Linked DNA regions of Diceros bicornis minor. The protein of the gene in region 1 purifies or fractionates together with the protein of each later gene. This does not show direct contact. Links are inferred from orthologs where the notes say so. Each region holds a gene or a part of one and is shown in the gene's direction. Other genes may lie near its edges.

Region 1 (7,877 bases):
TCAGGAACTGACCCTGGTACCATGCTAAGCATGCAACATACATTATCACATTTTTCACACCCTCCCCCCTTTTTTAAATTGAGTTATGTCTTGCATGCAGTAGACAGATACGATTATAGCTCAGTGAATTTTTATATATGCATACACCCATGAAACTACCACCTGGATCAAAATAGAGAATTTCTAGCATCCTTCTCCTATCAATACCTGCCTCCCTGCCAAAGGTAACTATTATTCTATCTTCTCTAACCTAGATTAGTTTTTGCCTGTTTTTGGTCTTCATTTCAATGGACTCATACAATAAGTACTCTTGTGTCTAGCTTCTTTTGTTCAATATTATGTCTGTGAGATTCATCCATGGAGTTATTTATAGCAGTAGTTTTTCATTGCTGTTTAGTATTCCATTTTTATGAATACTATACGACGGTTTATTTTTTCATTTTACAGTTGATGGATTTGTTATTTCTAGTTTTCTCCTCTTATGAATAAAGTTGCTGTGAACATTCTTAAACATATTTTTGGTGGACATAAGGATTTATTCCTGTTGGGTATTTGTCCAGAATTGGAATTACTGAGCCATTCAATATATGTATGTTTAGCTTTAGTAGGTACTGCCAATTTTCTGAAGTGTACCAATTTGAACTCCCATCAGCAGTGTGTAAGAGTTCCAGTTGTTCCACATTCCTATCAACACTTGGTATTGTCATTCTCTTACGTTTAGCCATTCTGGTGATTAAAATAACTAATTTTCACAAAAATCCTGTGAGGTAGGTACTGCTATAAGCCCCATTCTACAGACAAGGAAACTGAGGCCAGAGAGGGAAAGCCATGTTTGCCTCCTCTTTGATCCCACTCACATCCCACAGGATGTGAGCAGCAAGTGGGCAGCAGCAGGTCTGCATGATTCCTGTGCACCTGTGGCCATATGAAACTGTAAAGTCTGAAAACTCAGGTATGCCAAAATGATAGCTCACTTATTTTCTTAATTACTCTGTATAGTACCTATTTCCATTTGATAGCAGAAATATAATCTGGTCACTTCCTGGCAAATTCAGTCAAGTAAGTGTATGATCACTCAGTCATTTCAGTCAAGTTGAGGGTTCTGTCCCTCTTCTGATATCCAGGGTCACAGCTACATTCTGCAGAGCTTATGTGCTCATGGCATGGAGTGGGAGGGGAAGGGGCTGGAAGCTGTCTGGTCGTTGGTCATCATCCATCTTCCTCTACTGCTCAGGGAGGCAGGCAGACCTCACCCCTACCAGTTGTGCACTGTCATCCTTGGTTTCTGCTGTCCCAAGAGATGTCTGCATTTGTGCCATGGTCTCTGGTTTGGACTGTCCAGGTTTATCTGCTTTAGTGCTCCCCTTATTACATCCCAGAAGCCCCTTCCTGGTCATCTGCCTCCTCTTTGAGCAACATCCATTCTGTTTTAGGGCCTCAGGACATATTTTGATGATCCTTGGGATCCTCACACATTAGGCACAAGCCTGAGATGCTCCCAGACCCACCTGCCTAGGCATACTCAGCTGCCATTTCTACTTGACTGCTGCCATAACTTCTCATCACGGAACACTTTAGACCTTACAGACTAAGATAGATTCTCTTCACTCTTAGAGACCCCAAATCTTTCTGGGGGTCCTAATCATTCCATATCCCTGGATTGAGGGGATAGGGGGAATGAGTGGGAGACAGTCCCTTTTCAGAGACCCACCCCAGTAGCTAACTACAATGCTCTCTTCTCTGCCTCGATTTCATCCCCACTCCCAGCCTTTTGGAAAACTGACTCTGGCATCATCATACCTCCTCTTCCCAACCCTGCTGTTGCTAGTATAAAATTTAAGATTTGAGTCCTTCAGCATCTTGGGCTTTCAGTGCTCCAAAAAACCTTCTTGTCTGAAAAGCTTTGGGTTTCAAGAGTCCATTTTGCAAATCAAGATCTAAGAATTTGACTTGTTTTTCTTTGCATTCAGCACCTTCTCCTCTGGAGTAATATGGTGGTCTGACTTTAGGTGGAAGGCTTAGAGTTTGGCAAAAAGGAAGAAGGAGGGGCTAAGCAGAGGAAGGTGAGGCTCAGAGAGGTGAAATAACTTGCCCAAGATCACGTAATAGAGTCGCTGTGCTTACCTCTACCAGCGGAGCAAGAGAGCAGTGGAGTGCAGCCAGGGGATCTCTGACCATGGGGACGGGATTACTTCGTAGCTTACATGCTGTCCTATGGGTTGGAACACACATTCAGAGTCCAGAGTCTGTCCCATGGGTGGGTGCCTCAGAAAGGGAGTGTGAACTGAATTTTAGATGCACTGAGAGGGCTGGTCCTCATAGGAATCGTCCCATGAACCCTTTACAGCATTGAAACTCTGTTTACAAAGGGAGATCACCTCTGGAAATGAATTCACCATAAAAAACAGATTTTGCCACCTGGACTGCTTCAATCCAAGGCCTTTAGCTTCCCTGGAGGTAGTATGCTGGTATCAGTTGTAAATCAGAAAATATTCCTGGCATTTGAGGGTTAAAATTCAATATCTGGGCTGTGGTGGCAGAAGCATAGCTGGGATTGGAGCCTCAGCCCTCCTCTGCAGTGGCTGTGTGACACTGGGAAAGTCCTTGCTCTTTGGTTGCATTTCCTTCCTCTCTAGAACAAGGAGTTTGATAACATGGTGTGTGGAGTGATTGGAGTAAGTATGAGACCTCAGCCTTCTCATGGCCAGCTCTGGAACCAGAAGCACCCCCCCCACACACACACACACCTCCACACACCAACGGGAGTCTGTGGGGGCCAGTCCTTTCTGACCTGGGCTAGTGATTATGAATAAATGACTGGGGGTGAGTGATCCCCAGCCTGCATCCTACAGTCCCACAACTGCCTTGTTCCTCCTGAGTGGAGGGTTTGAAAGAGGATACGGTTGATTCAGAAAGTGTAGAGCTAAACTAGTCACCTTTGACAGACACTGCTGGTCCCTTCTTAGCAAGGCTTCATCACTGAGTCCCTACTACAGAGGTTTCTCAACTTACCTTGGGCTTGAGAATCGCTTGGAGAACTTGTTTAAAAGACAGAAAAACCTGCCCCCAGGGAGTCTGATTCATTAGCTCAAGAGTGGACCCTGGAATCTGCATTTTTCTTGACCTGATGCCAATTTATTTTTGAAGTAAAAACTTTTTGAATATGTAATACATTCATATGGACCGAAATCCAAAAGGTAGAAAAGGGTATAAAGTGAAAAATCACCCAAACCCCTGTTCCCCAGTCACCTGGTTCCCCTCCCCTGAGGCAAACAATTTCTTGTGTATCTTTCCTGAGAAAACTATGCATATAATAGCGTATATGAGTAAATGAAACCTGCATTTTAAAAACAAGCCTCTCTTGATGATTCCAATATTGCGGGTCCCCAGACATATTTGGAAAAACATACACCTCCTTTACAGGCCCTGGGCTGGGTCCTCGGGCTAGATGTGTGACCTGGCACTGCCCAGTCCTGTTTAGGATGCTCAACAAGAGTTTACCAGGTGCTACCTTGTATGCCATGGGCAGCGGAGCAAAGGGGCTCCAGTGGGCCTTGCCTAGGAGACCTGAAGCTCAAGCTGCTGAGGGCAAGGCTGTGTTGTAGAGAAAAATTATGAGAGCTGTAGGTCCTTTCATCTTCCTGTCATCAGCTGTGGCACCGGGCAGACACTGGATACCACAGCTTGTAGACAAAGACCTGGTAACCCAAGGAGCTGCTGGGCCTCCCTGCCCAGTCTCATCCCAGAAGAGCTGTAGGCCTCTGATTCCTTTCCGGGCCCTGTGTGGAAGCGTCTTTTGTCTCCCTGGCGTCAGGAATACCATCACGTGCTTGTTGGTTAGGTGAGCCGGGCGCCTCAGTCTCCTAGGGAGGGGTGGCAGCGTTCCCGGCCAGAGCAGGGGAGAGCGGGCGAAGTCCCTGACTGGCTGGCTGGGGGTGGGAGTTTTCAGACTAGCCCTTTCCCTCCCTAGCGTTGGATTCCTCCAGTGGCCCCTATCCCAGCCTTCAGAGAGCATCCCATACAAGAGTTCTGGCCAGGCTGGACCCTGGCTGCCTGGGTCACTGCCAAATCCCCGCACTGTGACACACACACGCGCGCGCGCGCGCGCGCTCAATACACGTTTGCTGAAGCAGTGGATATTCACTGCCAGAGAGAGGCCTCCTCTCAAGACTTGGGGTTTCCCTGGAACAATGGTTATTTGTGGCCTGGAGGCCTCTTCAGAAATAAATGGTAGGAAATGAGGGTTAAGAGCACCAAACTATGGAGCAAGGTTCAAATCCTGGCTCTGCCACTCAACCGTTGTGAACCTGTTCCCTCACATACAAAGGAGAAAAAGGCAAACAATATTTCACCTCATGGGTTATGGTGGAGGATGAGCTAACTCTTCTTGGGTTCAGAGGACACTGAGGCCCTGAGCGGAATCTCAAAGCAGTGACTGCAAAGCGCAGCTGCCTTCCTTCTTTGAGCCCCAGTTTTCCCGTCATGAAAGACGAGCCGCACCCTGACCTCATCCACGCCCCCCTCTCCGCTCCACACACACTGACACTTTCTAGGCTTTTCACGTCTGGGGTCTTTAGTTCGGCTTAGGACAGACCCTGCCTGAAGGGCCCCTGCAAACCGCGGAGAAGCCCAACCAGTCCCTCGTTCCCGCTTTGAGGAGGGCGAGCAGCGCTTTCGAGGGTGGGGTAAGAATGAAGCCCCGCCCCCGCCCCGCCGCGCCCGCCCGCCACCGCCTCTCCGCCCGGCCCGGCCCCTCCGTCCTCCGCCTGCCGTCAGGCGATCTCCGCGGCCAGCCCCGCCGGCTCTGTGACGCCGCGGGCCCCGGGGTCCTCGGCGCCTGCGCCCGCCATATAAAGGCCGACGCCGCGCCGCGTCGCTGTAGTGGCCTTGTTGTCTGCTTTTCTCCTGTGTGTGCTGACGCCGCTGTGCCCCCGTCAGCCTCCCGCCCGCCGTCTCCTTGAGACCCAACACCGTAAGTAGCCTCTGACCGAGCTGGAAGGGGCGGTGGCGCCGCGGATGGCAGGTTGGGTGCCCGCACCGAGGCGGGAGGCACCGGGGCCTGGCCTTCCCTCAGGCCCGGTGGAACCCGTTGCAGACCCCGTTCTGCGGGAGGTGCCGGCGGGCCCCTTCTCCCGCCCCGCCCCTCGACGAGGACTGTTCTGGTCGCGCGACCTCGCGACGCCCGGTGGGCGCCCGGGCGGGCAGGAGGCAGGAGGTGCGAGCCGAGCCCGGGATTGGGCCTTTTCTGCGCACAGCGAGCGTTCGCTGGCGCGGAGCTCGGCCGCAAGGCCCAGGCTGCGGCCTGGGGCCTCCCTTTGCGTTGAGACTGCGGGCCCCGGTGACCCAGGGCGGAGGTGGCGTCGGGGCTTTTAGTGGAGGGCCCTTGTCTGTCGTGAGCGTGGGCGTGTGTCCGTGTTGTTGTTTTGGTGTCGGAGGGAGCGTGGCGACGGTAGTCCGGAGCTAGGGAATCTCGGCTCCCATCCTTTCCCCTGGGTCAGGCGTCACTAGTTGCCGATGCTGGCTATCTGTGCTGGGGCTGAATCTTTGCAGATAGCCCCCTGCTCCTTCTGAATATTTCTCTCCGTTATTTTGCCACAGCCTGGAGTTGCTGAAACAACTATTGTAACAGCAGATACTGTCGTCATAGTGATGTGGCTTTTAGGAGCCCCAACTCTGTAAAACTTAACTCGAGGCGTCTGGGTCTCCAAGGGATAGGACGTTTGCCTGATTTAGTTCACTTTTTAGTGGAGACTTAAGGTTTGGGTTTTGGGGTCATGCAGTTTTCACCAGAGCTTCACAATATAAAGTATCTGTGTCGTAGAGCAATGCAGACTTCTCCACTCTGCCCTCTAAAAACAAGTGTCAGAATTTCAGGGCACTTGAAACACAGGTTTTTTTTCTTTATGATGTTGATAGAACCCACTTCCTGCCAGCCATGGAGGGTGATTTAATTTCCAATTTCAGGAGCCTAAGGAATTGGAGAAATGGTCTTGAAAGCATGTCAAATCAAAATTTTATCCATTGTGATCTGAAATTTTTGCACTGAATTCCAGCTGTGTAACACTGAAAAAAGTTCTCTTTGAGTTTTAAGTCTAGGATTACAAAGTGCATTGAATTACAGATTAACCGATTGCCTCCTTGCTATTTAATAGGATCTCAACTCCCTTAAGAGTAACCTAATAAACAAATTTGACTATGACTAAGCAGATCTTGCTATTTATCGAGAGTTATTTGAAAGAAGTATGAAATGGTCGTCTTGCTTAAAAGTAATTTTATCAACTGCTTTACCAGACTCATGTTTCTGTAATGTTCGTTCTGGTGCTTTGGAATATAAAAAGAACATAGAATGTTTTCTAAGTAAAAATTGGGCTCTAGTGGGGATGCCTTTTGTTGTTGCCTTGTCACAGGGAAGGTCCTCTGCTCTGGGCCCTTCATTGAGCAGGACAACTGCATTATTGGCAAGCACTAAGCAACATGGAGAAGCAGACATATTTGTGAACTGAAAAGTGAAATGCGATTCTCTCCAACCATGGTGTAGTGAGAACAGGATATATCAATGGCTGGTTTGAAAATATAGTTTTACCTTTTTGCTTCCTTTCCCTAACAGCTTGTCTGTTTGGGGGATGGAAACAATTGTCTGGGAAAAGCTGAATGAATATTTTAACTGATTTAATGGGTCTTAGGCCTTTGAACCTAAAATGGGTGCAATGACTGTTTTAAATGCCGAATTCTACACTTTGAAGTTAATAGGGACATCACAGGATTATGAATACCTGAAAAGCATGGAGCTTCAAAAGCAATACTTAAAATTTGAAGAGGTCTTGAATTAATCTTTACAATCACATATTGCTGCCCTTTCCTCTCCTGCTGAAGACTCTAAAGATGGTAAAAAAAAAAAATTGCTGGCTTAGAATTCTTAATTTTAAAGAGGTTTTATTGTTTTTTCCCCGGAACTTAAATTCTTTGAAGTTAATTGCTTAATTAACTTTTATGTAAGAGATGTCTTTTTCCTGGTGACTCATAATTAATCCGAGTTAATAAATACATTTTTGGAGCAAGTAATAGGTTATTATTATGAGGATTTCGGCAGAAGATCTCAAACTGGAACACCTGGACAGTCAGAAATGAAGTATAAGAAGGGTGGTGAAGTTTAAGTTCCTTATTTGGTTTAGGGAATTAGATTGACATCTGCTTATTCTTAAATCTTTTACTGTCTTATATATGGTCTTGCATTGATCCAAACATAAATAAGTATATCCTGATCTACTTTTGGGATCTGAATGCATTTTTCACTGTTAGGTCTCACAATGGGAAAAGTACTCCCTTATTTGATTGCTTTGTTTATTTTGGACTGACCTTCCTCAGGTTTGCAGGTGGTTAATTGTGATAGTTAACTATTCAAATGAGAGTAGTCAGTATTCAGTGAGAGCAGAAAGGCAGACAGAAAGTAAGTCCATTTGAGATCTATTTTGCATCAAAAGTATAGAATGTAACCCTTAAATTTATACCAGTATTGAGTTCAGTAGGGCAGGCCTTAAAAGCTTCTGTTCCTAGGAGTTAGTCTTTGAAAAAATTTTATAGAAACACTTGTATGCTGGCCTGTGAATTACCACTTACAGTGTTTTACAGAGGTATCTACTACAGTTCCTTAGGATTTTATAGTTAATAAGTTAGAGGGCTTCTAACAGACTGTAGTTGATGAAATGTAGAGAACTAATATCTCTTAAATTTCAAATTCAATATAGTACTTTTTTTTTAGATGCCTTCAATTAAGTTGCAGAGCTCTGATGGAGAGATATTTGAAGTTGATGTGGAAATTGCCAAACAATCTGTGACTATCAAGACCATGTTAGAAGGTAAGTTTATTAGAAAACCTG
Region 2 (7,050 bases), on another chromosome or scaffold:
GGCTCCATGGGGAGTGGGGGGATCTACTGGGGGGCCTGCCAGCCCCAGCTGGGCTAAGCCATCCTGAGGAGGGAGTAGGGAGTGGGCAGTGAGAAGTCCCAGGACTAGACAGCACTGACTCCCTCTCCTGGACCCAGGTGGGAGGGGGAGGAGCCTCAGGAGACAAGAGACCTTGTCCCCCACCCCCTACACACACCCTGGTACTTATAATTCTGGGCTTCGCATGAAGGGACTCAGTGACTGCCCTTTGAGGGGCTAGGGCAGCCCCATCACTCTGTCTGGGCGGCAAACGGATCTGCTGTCAGAGCTGCTCCTTCTAGGAGGAGGAAGGTGCTTCTCAGAAGGGAAAAGTGCTGGGTCACGACCCAAGTTGCCAGCTGGCAGGCCCCCTTTGCCCTCTTGTTTCCTGGGATTCTGACCCAGAGGATCAGAATGCGGGGATCTCTTCTCTCCACTGCTGTGTGCTGATGGGGCAGGAGATGGTTCTAAGGAACCGGTGTAACTGAGCCGGGGGCAGGGACACCTGGGTTCTGCCAAACTTAAAGGCAGCCATCCCACCCAGGGTTCACCAGAGGAGAAATAATCCTAGGGGTGGAGCGAGTTGCTCAGGAAGTCCTTTCTCCCAATCTCTTAGCAGGGCAGCAGGCCTTGGAGATATGGCAGTGAGCAAGGCTGACCTGCCACCCCAGAATTCAGTCTGATAGAGGAGGAAGACAAGGAAAGAAGGAAACAAGTGAATAGGTCCTTGCAATACAGCGTGTCAGGTGCTGTGAGGAGGAAGCCCAAGACGCTGGGAGCAGAGAAGACATTGCCCCTGCATGATGGTGGGGGCTTTCCAGAGGGAATCATGACCATGCAGCACTGTGGTAGAGGCCCAGGATCTGGCACCAGAGAGATCCATGCTGGGGCCGGCCTGGTGGCATAGTGGTTAAGTTCATGTGCGCCACTTTGGCGTCCCGGGGTTCAGCCCGGGATCCCAGGTGTGGACCGACACACCACTCATCAAGCCATGCTGTGGCGGCGTCCCACATACAAAATAGAGGAAGATGGGCATAGATGTTAACTCAGGACCAATCTCCCTCACCAACAAAACAAAACAAAACAAAACAAAACAAAACAAAACAAAACAAAACAAAACAAAACTAGAAGGACCCCCTAGCCAAGCGCTGTTCCTTCAGGAACACTGCTTCTCAGCCCATTGTTCATTCGTCTTGTTCTGAGCTGGCTGCACGTGGTGTAAACCAATAAAGACTATTTAAAAAAAAAAAAGAAAGAAAGAAAGATCTGAGCTTGTGGCCCTGGCAAGTGGCTTGATCTCTGTGCGATTCTTTTGGTCTTTCCTTCCACAGGCACAAGACGGCTGCCAAAGCATGAAGCACTTTTTCTGTGCTCTTGTTTGAGGAGGAATATCAAAGGGGTTTGATTTATTTTGTTGTTTGTTTTTTTTTTTTTTTTTTTTTTTTTGGTAAGATTAGCCCTGAGCTAGCATCTGTTGCCAGTCTTCCTCTGTTTTGTAAGTGGGATGCTGCCACAGCATGGCTTGATGAGTGGCATGTAGGATCCAAACCCGCGAACCCCAGTCCTATGAAGCAGAGCATGAAGTCAACCACTATGCCACTGGGCTGGCCCCACTTTTTTTTTTTTAAGGTACTACTTCCACACGGCAAAAATGCAAGCAGCACAAAAGTGTATATACAGCAACATAAAGTCTCCTTACTCTCCAGACCCAGCCTCTCCCCAGGGGCAACCACCATTAAAAGTCTCCATTTCTGAGTCTCTGCATCTTCAAACATGTGTGATATGGAGTCTCCCAAGAAGATAACAAAATTTTTCAGATGTTAATAACATGTTCCAATGGAGATAGGGACTTTATATTTTCAAGTACATGCAATGGGTTAAGTTATGTCAAAGAGCAGAAACAAACAACTTAGTTTTTATATAGGCCTTTATGTATAAAGCAAAACACATTATAAATTGTGTATGCATTTTATTGGAGAGAGAGAGAGAGATATATATATCCAGTGGGATCAAACTATATGCACTTGTTACTGCCCAAGGGGGCGTCTTCTGCCTGCTGCAAGACATGCCAATAGTCAAGAGGCAAGGTGGTAGGAGAGAAAGGACTTTTTATTACAGCTTGCTAGCAAGAGGGAAGACGGCCAACTCATGACCTAAAAAAGCCATCTTACAGCACAAAGATTACAGGCCAGTTATATAGGGGGCTGGTCTCCTGGTGGGGGAGGCATCTGGTCTCTGGGTGGGGGCATCCATCTGATCTCTGGGTGGGAGCAGATATCTGTTCCTGATAGTCTGTTTAGTTCCTGATAGTCTTTTGTTTTACTGGATATGCATCAGAGACCGGAGCAACGCCCTATACCCAGATCTTTCAGTTGTCATTAATGATGGCTATCAGCATAGCCTCTCTGCCCGGGGGTCATCACATTCCTAAGGAACTCAAAAGAACAAAGTTATCAACTTATAGCAGCTGGGAGGGGCCATAGAATCCACAGAGCATGTCAGTTAATCAGAGGTCATTCAAAGTTACAATAGGGTTTCTTTCCTACAATATGGCTTCCCTCATGTCAACCTCGTGTTGAACCAGTATCACACTGTCCTCTACACTTTTTGTTTTTTAAAGCAAACAATATCCTGGAGAGGATTCCAAACAGCACAGAAAGATCTACCTCATTCTTTTTGACATCTTGAAATCCTAGAAGTGGGACTGTTGGGTCCAAACAGGGGCTGCAATCTCCTATTGCCAAACAGCCTTCAAAGAGTTTGCATCAATCCTGCCCCATCTGTGGTAGCTGAGAGGATCTGTTTCCTCACACCAAGGCCAGTGTGGGTATTTTCCAGCTTCTTCATCTTTCTTAATCTGATAGGTGAGAAACCAGAGTGTTTTACTTTTTATTTATTTATGGATAAGTGTGAGCATAAAGATGTATTTTTTTTAGCTTTATTGAGGCATAATTGATATATAAAAATTGCACACATTTCATGTATACATCTTAATGAGTTTTGCATTTCTTTTTAAAATAGTTTTCAATTTTAAAATAATCTCCAATTCCTGCTTTTGTATGTGTGTGTGTATTAGAAACATATTTATTGCCATTATAGGCTCTTGGGGGAGTGATTTAACAAAATTAAACTCACATGTCCTTTGACTCATCAAACCGACTCCTGATTATTTATCCTATAGAAATAAAAGCAGGATATACACACATACATATATATGTACATACATATATAATAAAGAATACTTAGCTGCGTTATTGTTTGTGGTAACAAGAAGTCTGGAAGCAACTTGAATGCTCATCAATACGGGAACGTTTGAATAAGTTTCACTACCCTTATGAATTGCTATTTTAAAAATGAGTGATCTACATTTGGTGGGAGGGTCAGCTCAAGACAGCCTCTGTGAACAGTTTGGCAGTATCAATCAAAACGAAAAATTCAACATGCACTTTAAAAAGCTATCTCGCTTCTGCAAATTTATCCTCGTGTATATGCATCAAAAACTATGATTAAGTAAAAAAGTTAAGACCTCGCTCTCCGTCACGCCCTCCGCTCGACGTCTGGTCTCTCCACCCCACCCTCCCGGCTCGTCACCGCCTTAGCCTCGCCTTCCGGGCTTGGTCCTCGTCCCGTCCTTAATCGCGCCCCTGAGCCACCGCCCCCCCGTTAGCCACGCCCTCGGGCTTCGTCTCCCACCCCAGCCACGCCTTCCGGGCGTGTCCCTCGTCCCCAGCCCCGCCCCCAGAGCCTCGTCCCCGCCCCTAACCCCGCCCCCGGGGTTCGTCACCCGCCCCCCCCCGGCCACGCCTTCCGGGCTTGTCCCTCGTCCCCAGCCCCGCCCCCAGAGCCTCGTCTCCGCCCCTAACCCCGCCCCCGGGGTTCGTCACCCCCCCCCCCGGCCACGCCTTCCGGGCTTGTCCCTCGTCCCCAGCCCCGCCCCCAGAGCCTCGTCCCCGCCCCTAACCCCGCCCCCGGGCTTTGTCACCACCCCGGCCACGCCTTCTGGGTTTGATCCTCGGCCCCAGCGAAGTCCTCAGCTTTCGGTCCAGACCCCGAGCTGGTGTGGAGCTGAGGCCCAACAACGTTCGCGCAAGAGGAAAGCCGGAAGTCTCCGCCGGCTGCCGGAGGCCGCGGCTACCGCACTGCCGAACCCCCACCTTCCCCCGCCTCCTGGGGCGCCCCCGGGGTGATCCCCGAGTCCCCCTCGCCGGAAACGGAAGTGCGTGTCGGCCGGATCATGGCGACTTTCGCCGACCTGCCGGACTCGGTCCTGCTGGAGGTCTTCTCTTACCTCCCGGTCCGGGACCGGATCCGCGTCTCCAGGTGAGGAAGGGCCGGGCGGGGGGCGCGCCCGGAGCTGCGGATCCGGTCCCCGCGGGGCCGGGGTCGTTCTAACCGCGGGTCCCCTCCCTCAGGGTCTGTCACCGCTGGAAGAGGCTGGTGGACGACCGGTGGCTGTGGCGACACGTCGACCTGACCCTGTATACGGTACGTGGGGCCGGCCTGGGCCGCGGTCGGGTGGCCGGACCTCGAGACCACCCCTCTCACCCTGGGTTTCGAGCCCGGCAGTCCCGGGCGCACTCCGGTCGCGTCGCTTACCTGCTCCTCTGCGACCTCCCGGCCTCAGTTTCCCCATCTCCAAAATGGGGTAACCGAGATTGTGCAGGGAATGGGCACCGTTAGTGTCTGGCATATAGTCAGCATACGATAGATGCTGGTTGATGATTACATTATCAAATATTATTATTATTGGTGAGTTTTCATGGAGACATAATTTTCCATAGTCAGCTTATTTCCAGAATTAATTTCCTGAGTAGTGCAACCGAACCATTTCTACTTTCCCGCATTCTCATTTTTCTTGTTTTTATTATGAACTATTTCAAATATGTAGAACAATCATGTCCTCGATTTAACCTATTTTAACCTTTGCCCTCGTTTACTGCAGATCGTGTGAAACACACATACAAATGTTTATGTGTACATATATGCATATAACATTTATAGGTATATTTGTCGCACTTTTTGGAACCCTCCTCAGAGGCAACCACTATTAGAAAGTGGATTTTTATCCTTTTACATTTTTATTTACTTCTTGTGTGGGTGCCCTATATAAACAATATACAGTATTGTTAACGTGTTTCTAAAGTTTAGATAATGCTATTCTACTATTTAGATATTTAAATGCTATTTTAGTTACACATCCATCTACAACTAGCTTCCGTCACACAACATTGCTTTTGAGATTTATTCTAATTGGCGCTTGTAATCTAGGTCATTCTTTTTAACTGCTGTTAAATTAATATACCACAATGTGTTCATCTGTTTTCCTGTTGACAGACATTTAGTTTATTTCCAACTTTTTATGATTACAGTCTTAAAAGTGGTGTCTCAGACTTTACTGTGCGTATGAGTCACGTGGGGATCTTGTTAGAATGCAAATTCTGATTCAGCTGCCTAGAGTGGGGGCCCCAGATTCTGAATTTCTAAGAACCTCCCAGGTGTCACTCATGCCACTGATTCTTGTTCCGTGAGAATGTGCTTGTGTCCGTCTTCTTGTGTCCAGGTAGGAGTTACTCAGAAACCTAGAGGTGCAATTTCTGAGGGTAGGGTCGTTTATACTTTATCATCTTCATTTCCTTATCTACAATTCCAGAATCAAAAAGTCTGCAAAGTGAACAGTTTTTTTGTAAGCTTGGCACAAATTCATTTGGTGGCAAACCCTGACCTGAACTAGTGTGAGGCAAATAATGTCCTTTTCCTTATCCCGCTGGAATAAATAGTCTTTTTTTTTTTTCTTGCTGAGGAAGATTTGCCCTGAGCTATCATCTGTTGTCAATTGTCCTCTTCTTTTTAATTTTTATGTGAGCCGCCACCACAGCATGGTCCCTGACAGAGGAGTGGTGTGGGTCCGTGCCTGGAAACTGAACCCAAGTCCACGAAGCCAATGGACTGAACTTAACCACTAGGCCCCCAGGGCTGGCCCAATCCATTTTATTCAAGTGTGTTTCAAAATAAGTTGCAAACATGGGTCCACTTCATCCCTAAACACTTCAGCACACATAATAGATTAACTAGAACATTTGTTTTACAGTCCTCTTTTTTTTTTTTTTTTTTTTTTGTGAGGCGATCAGCCCTGAGCTAACATCCGCCAATCCTCCTCTTTTTTTGCTGAGGAAGACGGCCCTGGGCTAACATCGGTGCCCATCTTCCTCCACTTTATATGGGACGCCGCCACAGCATGGCTTACCAAGCAGTGCGTCGGTGCGCGCCCGGGATCCGAACCAGCGAACCCCGGGCCGCCGCAGCGGAGCGCGCGCACTTAACCGCTTGCGCCACCGGGCCAGCCCCTACAGTCCTCTTTTTGATATATAATTTATGTACTAGTGAAAGTTTATTTTAAAAAAATCACGAGTCACGAATAATTCTCCTAGTAAGAACGTTGAAATATTGCCACAGCTGAAGCTAAGAGCCTTTGACAGTCATCCTCTGGTATCCTCACCCCTCCCCAGAGGAACCACTATAAGGGTGGAATATTTCCTTCCATCCCATCTTATATGCGTTTACATCCTTGTGTCTGTGTAAGGAGGAAAGAGCAGTGGTTACAAGAGCAGGATTCAGCTTTGGAGTCAGGCTGTGTTGAAACTTACCTCTTCCTCTTGCAACAAGATTCTAGCCAAGATTATTTTTCCAGGGGTATTTACTACATGACCAGGTAGTTCAGTGATCAGTGCTCTAGTTCATTGCTCAGCGCTGTACCTAGCAAACAGTAGATACTCAATAAATGTTAGCCGTTATGTCGGGGAATAGTTATACCCAGACAAAATAAATGGTATTGTTTCTTTTTTCTTTTATCTATGAGGCATTATTTTGCCACTGTTTCCTGCCCATCTTGAGAAATTACCCGTGTTCGTATCTCTAGATCTGCTTTGTTCTGAATTGCTGCTTAGATGGCTATTATCTTACCAATGTACATTTTAGTTTTTTTCCTAGATTTTGCTGTTAAAACAGTGCTGTCAGAAACCAGTGTTTCTCAAG
Region 3 (7,916 bases), on another chromosome or scaffold:
TAAGGATATTCTCCTATATAATCTTTTCAAAGCTTTACTGTTTTTTTTTTGTTGTTACCGCTGTCAAGTCAACCATCAAGTTGACTCTGACTCCTAGTGACGCTGTGTACAGCAGAGCTGAACCTTGCCCGGTCTTTTTGTGCCATCCTCTCACCTTCTGGCGCTCTATCAGACAATCCTCCCTGCTATTCGTAGGGTTTTCATGGCCAATTTTTTCAGAAGTGGGTGACAAGGTCCTTCTTCCTAGTCTGTCTTAGTCTGGAAGCTCTGCTGAAACCTGTCTGCCATGGGTGACCCTGCTGGTGTTTGAAATACTGGTGGCAGAGCTTTCAGCATCACAGCAACATGCAGCCGCCACAGTATGACAACTGACAGGCGGGTGGTGTGGTTCCCCGAATGGGAAGCGAACCCGTACTGCAGAGGTGAGAGCACTGAATCTTAACCACTAGACCATCTACTGTTTTATATAATCTACCTGAAACTGATTTGTGTGTATGTCCCAAGATAGCTGTCAAGTTTCATTTTTTTATGTTGGGATATCTGATTGACCCATTTCCATTATAGGAAAAACCACCTTTACCCTACTTCTTTGCAAAGACATCTCTGTCATGATTAAATATCCAGATATGTGAAGGTCTGTTTCTGGGTTCTCAGTTCTGAGACTTTTGTCTATCTTGCTCCAATTCCACGCTGCACTGGTATCATCGTTACCATCATCATCATCCCCAGCATCATCATCCCCATTTTACAAATGAGGAAACTGAGGCACAGAGAGGCTAAGGAACTTGCCCAAGTAATTTACTAGTTAATGGCAGAGCTGGAAATAGAACCCAAGGAAGCCGGTTTTTGGGTCCATGCCCTCGTAATAGTTCAAACAACAAATCTCAAAGCAGGCTCTACGGGAAGTCTTAGAAATAGGAAAGCCGCAGCCGCACACTGCGCATGTCCCGTAACTAAAGAGAGGAGGGTGGGGCTCTGGGGCTCCCGGCTCAGCCCCAAACGGAGCCACCGCGTCTTTCCCAGACCCACCACCAGAGGGCGCAGATAACTTAAACTCGCCAGGGTCGTCCCTCCCGCCCTCCCCTGGTTGGCTTGCAACCAATCATAAAATATTTACCCAAAGCGCAGTTCAAAGACAATGTAAAAAATTGCCTAATCCAGTCTCCAAGCAGGACTACAGCAAAAGGACAAAACTGGACTGATTTCAGTTTTCTTAAATATCTTCAGTGAAGAAAGAAACTTCCCACTACCTGGCTAATTTGTCTCATTCCCAAACCACTTTATTATACTAAGTCCCTCCTTGAATCTCTTACTCTTCCTAGGGTAAACTGGATTCTTTTGTTCTACGCTTAGTGGAAACAAGGAGCAACTGTTTGGCATCCTCATGGCAAACTCTTCAGACATGCTTGTAAATAACGACGTGTAGAGCTGTAAGGTCAAATCTCAGTTCTCATTTCTCTCAAAGCTATAACAGTACACGATTACATGTTACCTCTTAGCAATGTACAGGTTTCTTTGGTCTCTCTCCAATTTCCCTATGTCCTTTTGAAATGTGAAGTCCCAAAGTGGACTTTGCACTCCAGTATTCCACCCGTGACAGATTTATTTCCTGATTCTTGAATGTTACCCTGTTAATATACGCAAGCAATGTGCAATCATTCAATAAAGTAACTCATTTTTTATCAACCTGATGAAAGATTATATAGGTATTAAAATAACAATCACAAAGGCAATGACATAGCAATATAGAACATGCTTAATATTTCATTTAAAAAGCCATGCAAACACTGTACTTCTGCCTTGATTAATGCTATAAAAAGACGCTTATGGACAAAGTCTAGAAGGTAACATAAAGGTAAAAACAATAATTGACTTGTTTGGTTTTGGGGGTTGATGGTGATTACTTCTCTCTGTTTTGCATTACTGGTATAATTTTGAGGACTTTTTAACTGATTAAAATCTTTTATTCACTCAGCAACTTATGGAGCACTCATTATGTGAAAGACCCAGGGCGAGGTGTTGCAAGGAAGACCAAAGCAGACACAGATCCTGCTGTTTAGAATAATAGAATAATAATAAGCTGATACTTATTAAATGCTTACTATATCTTAGCTACTATTATCATCCCTATCGTATAGGTGAAGAAAGTGGGGAACAGAGAGGTCAACTAGCTTACCCAAGGTCACACAGAGTAAAAGTAGAACCAGAGTTTGAACACAGACATTGCAAATGTGCAAGCCCTTGGACTTAACCACCATACCACACTGCCTTTCATGAGAGCCTAAAAAGACAGAAATAGATAAATAACATTCAATCATTCAGCAAATATTGATTGAGCATCTACTACATGTCGGGGACCAAACTAGTACTGAGAAGACACTAATGAGCAAGATAAGCACAGTCCCTGCCCTCATGGAGCTCACAGTCTATAAAGAAAGCATCATAGGAGTTCAGAGGAGAAAAAGAGAAGACTACTCATCTTTGAGGCTGTAGGGAAGAACCATCTCTTACACCCTCTGTTCCATTCCTAGCAGAGCATCCACCTTGTGGAGAGAAGAGGAGATGGGAGAGGGAGGAACACAAAGTCCCAAAAGAAAAATAACGAGAGGTGGCATCTATTCATTCAGCAAGCATTTGGAGAGGGGATTCAAAAGTAAAGCCAGGGTCAGGACTGGTGTCTATGCAGATACCAATAACCAATCTGTAGATAAGAAAGAGAGAGTGATATTTAATGAGCTAATGTGAGGACTAGCCCAGAAGTGCTCTCTTCCCCAGGGAGGAAAGCACTCCAGGGAAGCATGGTTTACAGCGTTGTTATATATGAGTTCAGAACGAAGAACATACATCAAGCATGACAGGAATACAGTGTTTTTTTTCCAAAGTCACAAGGAGATGTTTTGCCTCAATTTAGTACACACATAGCAGGTCAGCTTGACCTTAGTTCTCTGGGGAAAAACAAAGCTAATCTTCACGGAAGTACTGGTATCAGAGAAAGGGAGACATTCACCCCTCTTTAAAGAGTGCAGTTGTTGCTTTGGGAAAATCTTTGAAGCAGATGTACAATGCGTGTTTGGTGGGCCATAAGTCAGACTGCTCTGGGAAAAACAAGTTTTGGGCCAAATCAAATTTAAACCAGAATGGCTTCCTCATATACCTCAATATGTGAAAACTTCTTATTATTCTTATTATTTTCATCGCTGGGATAGACCTTTAAGGTTCCTGTCAACCTGAGACTCTAGTTCCTGTTCAATTTTGACTCAAATGTCTTCAAGCATTGAGTGCCAAGCACTGAGCTAGATCCTGGAAATACAACTATAAGTAAGCCACGGCCCCTGCCCTCCAGGAGTTTATAGTCTAATGGGGCAGACAGACAAGTAAGAAGTTCCAGTAAATGTACTAAGGCCAGTGATAAGAAGCAGCACGGAAAGAGATGAGGCACTATGCCGGCTTGGACCAGACAGCAAGGAAGTGACATCTTTACTGAGCGGTGACACAGGACAAGCTGGAGTTCGAAAGTGGATGGGGTGGGGAGTGTGATCCAGGCTTGAAAGAACAACTTGGCAAAGTCCTGGAAATGAGAAATCCTAGGATCGCAACGATGCTCTGATTTATAGAGTGGTGCCAATTAATGCCACTAAATTGCTGACTAAATTGCTAAATTCTTTCATTGCTCATTCCCAAGTTCAGAAAGGGTTCCGAGCATGGGCACAACCTAGGGCCAAATTGAAACAGACTCTTCACTTGATAACTGCAGAGCTCCACCCTGCCTAGGCCATCTTAGCCCACCGTCACTTCATTGCAGGTGTTCATATGCTTCTCCTGCCATTCAGTCAGTGGGGCCGTCAATCAGCGAGACCTGCGCTAGACTCCAGAAGAATAAGAAGCCTCAACCCAATTCCCCAGGGGAGGATTGGGGACAGTGTCCTCCACATCTTTGAGTCCAAGACGAATCCACCACAGTGCTTTGTGCACAGTGGTACCACTGGATCTACTAAACATAGAACTAAAAGAAAATAAATTCATCTGATGGAATAATTACTATCTCAACCCACGTCCTCCACATTCGCAGTCCCTACTCCCAGCCCATCTACTGCTGCGCATCAGCGCACTCCACCCCCTTCTCAGACTCTGCCACTTGCAAACGACAAGTTGCTCAGCGCAAATAGAAGCGTAGCTTTGTGGATAAAAGCAGAAGATTTGGAATCAGAATAATCTGGGTGGAGTCCTCTTATTAGATTTATGATATTGAGCAAGTCTCTCAACCTACGGCAGCCTCAAAGTTTTCTTCGTCTGTAAAATGAGAATAAAACAGCTCTTTCACTGGAGTTTTTGAATGAACGCAACTGGGCTGAGTTGTGTAGTAGTAAATGAGACAGTCTATGTAAGGAGATTATCACGTTGCTTGGCATATAAAATACACTCAAATAGTAGAATGCTGCAGATGATGTAATAGGGTGAAGGCAGAGGAGGAGGAGGAGGAGGAGCATGGTGCTGTAGGACGGCCGGTTGTCAGTCCTGTAAGTCACTGGCTGGACTGGCAAGCCCCACCAGCTCAGGCAGTTTCTTCCAGCGGCAGGCCTTGAACAGGACGCGCGTAAGAGATCCGCTGCCCCCAGACTCGGTGCACGCCCAGACCTCCGCAGGGAGGGCCAGCCTGCGTCACCCGCCCCGCCCGCCGGCTCCTCCCCCGCCGGCGGACACATGGTGGGAACGTGATGGGGCGGGGCCGAACTCGGCGCCGCTAGGCCAATCGCCAGGAGGAAGGCACCCAGCCAATGGCAGAGGCGCTCCAGGGCCAGAGGGGCGGGGCCACAGGGAGGAGCGGCGGCGTCATAGGTCACTGGGCGGGCTGGGGGCGGGGCCCGCGGCGCCGACGGGGCGGAGCAGCGGCGGCCGAGCAGTCCCGGCGGTGATGGCGGCGGCGGCGGTCGTGACGGGGGCAGGGGGGGCTCCGGCGGCGGCGGCGGCGGCGGCGGCGGCGGCCGGAGCGGATGGCGCCTCCTCGGTGCACTGGTTCCGCAAGGGGCTGCGGCTCCACGACAACCCGGCGCTACTGGCGGCCGTGCGCGGGGCGCGCTGCGTGCGCTGCGTTTACATCCTCGACCCCTGGTTCGCGGCCTCGTCCTCGGTCGGGATCAACCGATGGAGGTGAGGGGCCAGGGACGGGGGTGCGGGCCTGGGGGACGCAGCCTGGCCGCGGGGCGCTCGCGAACAGCCCGGGCCCCCCCACAGAGAGGGGGAAGCTCTGCCCCGCAGTCCCCACGGCCGGAAGACTCCGGCCTAGGGAAGCGGGGCAGGAAGACCCAGCGGGGTCCCCAGAGGGGAGAAGCCAAGATGGGGAAAGCAATTAGTCATCGTGCCAATGGCCGGGGGGGACCAGGGCTCGGCCTCTGACAAAGCGCTTCCTCACTCTTTATCCCCTTGGGCCTCACAACATTCCAGAGGACAGAGATCATGGTCCCCGTTGTACAGATGAGACTCTTGAGCCTTAGAGACGCAAAGTTGCCCTGCCCCAGGACTTGCGGCCAGTGCGTGGCAGACCGGGGACTCCTGGTCTAGGGCTCTTAGGGGTGCGCTCAGGGCGGGGAGAAAAGGAGATTCTGCGCTGTGAGGGCAGGGACGGGTTTCTGAATCCATAGCACAGCAGACGCGTGCACTCTTCGAGTAAAGAGCCCATTGCTGGGCTCCTGAAGGTCGTCTCTAAGCCTCTGGTGTGTTTGAATCCATCTTTTCACCGATGCCGACTGCCCTTCCACCAAGACTATCCTGCCTCTGGAGGTGTCTAGAGACTCTGGCTTAGCATTAGATAAGAAGGCAAGTGCCCTCTCCTATGTGTTATAGGTACAGACCCCAAGGCCATGTTCAGTTAGAGGCACTTTGTCTCCTGACCTAGAGAGCAGGACTGAACCCATTTTGGAGAATTCCCTCAGCAGCAGTGAGCTTGCTAGGAAAAAAAAAAAAAAACACAGTGTTACTTCCTTCCTCCCCTTCTTATGAGACTGATCTTAAAGGACAGTTGAACCACCAAAGATTAGACTTTTATCAACTGATGTGCTGAGGTCAGGGAGCAGGAAAACTGCTATCAAGGGCCCGTCTTCGATTACTCCAGGAAATGGAGTTGACAGGATCTTGGGAAAGGATTCACAGATAGGTAGTTGATGTATTTTCTCTGTAATCAGTGTTTAAAACCAAGGCGTTCTGAGACATCGTGTACTCATCTGTCATTAAAACATCCCACAGGAGTCATTCGGTTTGTTTGCGTGGTTCTGGAGGATGTTTGCTGTGGCCATATTGCGTTGGGCAGGGTTATTCCCAGGATACAGTGGCTCTCAGCACACCGTCCTTCCCTCTCCAAGGTGTGTGCCCTGCTGGGAGAGTGAGGGCTCTAGCAGTGGGTCTGTGAAATGCCCCCTCCTGCCCCACTTATATAGAGAGAACAACTAAAGATAGTCCTGTGGAGAGCCTGCCCACACAGTTTTCAGGCGGCTCTGTTGCTCTGTCTCTGCTCCAGTTTCTATAGATAGGAGGTTGGGTTCCACAGACATCCTCAAATGGCCATCTAGCAGGAAGGTTAAACTGAGCCTCAGACTTTGCCCCTCGCTTATGTCAGTGTGCCAATCCGAGCAGAGTAAATAGATCAGACTATCGACTTGTTACACTGTCACCAAGGAGTTTCTTTTGTTGGATTTTGGGGGACATCGCAGAGGACTGCCTACTCCTTTGTGCTAGTAGAGATTAAAAATCAGCAACAAAAACTCTTGCTGATTAAACTCCGATTTGCTAGGAACTAGATGTTTATGGATTTTTATGGGTCATGCTTTTGTGATTGTGCTTTCAAGCAAGTGAAGGAGAAGTGGAATGTGGCAGCTCAGATACCTGAGTCAGATCCTGAAGTCAGAGGCCGTGTAGGAATGCAGATTTTAATTGAGCAATTGTTTTAATGAGTGCCTAATATCTGCTAGGCACTGCCCTAGGGGCTGCTCAGGTCACAGCAGTGAACAAGAGGATGCCGTGTCCAGAGCTCCTGAAACCTACATTTTAATGAAGGAAGACAAGTAAACAACCATAATTTAGTAGAAGTGCCATGAAATAAATAAAATAGGAGGATGGACTAGAGTACTGACTCTCAACTTTGCTGCATATAGCAATCACTTAAGGATCTTTAAAAGATGCCTCACCCCCCTTCCCCCAGTTCTGATTTAATTGTTCTGGGTTATGGCCTGGGCATTAGGGTTTTTAAAGCTCTCAGGTGCAGCAAAGCCTGAGAAGCACTCGACTAGAGAACCACAGACCTGAGCCCGACAGCTTGGAAAATGTGTTGCTGTGCATTGGCAGGAAGTCTAATTAGTTTTGGCATTCAGAAGAAAGAAGTGAAATGACACAAACAGATCGAATGTAATAACTGCTCCTGGGCCTGGAAATAGACACACTCCTCCCACCCCCATACTCTTTGCTCCTTTGATTGGATGGAGGGCACTGCTGCACGCTCCTTTATGCACTCGGTTGGGGGGAGTGATGGAGCCAGCCATACCTCTGCGTAACTCGAGTATGTGTAATCTTCCGGGGGCTGTTTCTGGATCCAGGAGTGATCTGGGAGAATTGCGCTGCAGCACAGTGTCCTCACTCTGCTTCACTTGCTGAGAAGCCTCCCTAAGAAGGGTGGGCCCCGGGCCATCTGCAGGATGGAGATGGCACCAAAATCTGTGATCTCTATTATCTCCTGCGCTTCCTACACTGACTCCCACACAGCGTTTTTTGGCGGATGAATCAGATTAAAATAACCATGAATGGCACTTTCTAAGAGTAAAAGAGGACAGAGAGAGGCAATTAAGAAATATGTATGTTTATGAGCCTAGGAGAAGGGCTGGCATTCTCCTTGCTTTGGTGGTGGTGGGAAGTTTATGGACTAACTGTAG

Evidence for each region. Proteins that work in one complex are often made in the same cells at the same time.
Region 2: the proteins of SKP1 (region 1) and FBXL12 purify together in Homo sapiens (affinity purification with western blotting; 10 studies listed by BioGRID and IntAct, with this or other methods). This does not show direct contact. The link is inferred for Diceros bicornis minor from reciprocal best matches to the Homo sapiens genes SKP1 and FBXL12.
Region 3: the proteins of SKP1 (region 1) and CRY2 purify together in Homo sapiens (co-immunoprecipitation; 3 studies listed by BioGRID and IntAct, with this or other methods). This does not show direct contact. The link is inferred for Diceros bicornis minor from reciprocal best matches to the Homo sapiens genes SKP1 and CRY2.

What each region holds. Positions count from the first base shown.
Region 1 is NC_080740.1:53,332,573-53,340,449, reverse strand, and holds the start of SKP1 (S-phase kinase-associated protein 1), read left to right. Parts: upstream 1-4,869; 5' UTR 4,870-4,972; intron 4,973-7,759; coding exon 7,760-7,856; intron 7,857-7,877. UniProt on the Homo sapiens protein: Essential component of the SCF (SKP1-CUL1-F-box protein) ubiquitin ligase complex, which mediates the ubiquitination of proteins involved in cell cycle progression, signal transduction and transcription.
Region 2 is NC_080769.1:9,233,096-9,240,145, forward strand, and holds the start of FBXL12 (F-box/LRR-repeat protein 12), read left to right. Parts: upstream 1-4,046; 5' UTR 4,047-4,252; coding exon 4,253-4,338; intron 4,339-4,430; coding exon 4,431-4,503; intron 4,504-7,050. UniProt on the Homo sapiens protein: Substrate-recognition component of the SCF (SKP1-CUL1-F-box protein)-type E3 ubiquitin ligase complex.
Region 3 is NC_080770.1:24,329,860-24,337,775, reverse strand, and holds the start of CRY2 (cryptochrome-2), read left to right. Parts: upstream 1-4,912; coding exon 4,913-5,148; intron 5,149-7,916. UniProt on the Homo sapiens protein: Transcriptional repressor which forms a core component of the circadian clock.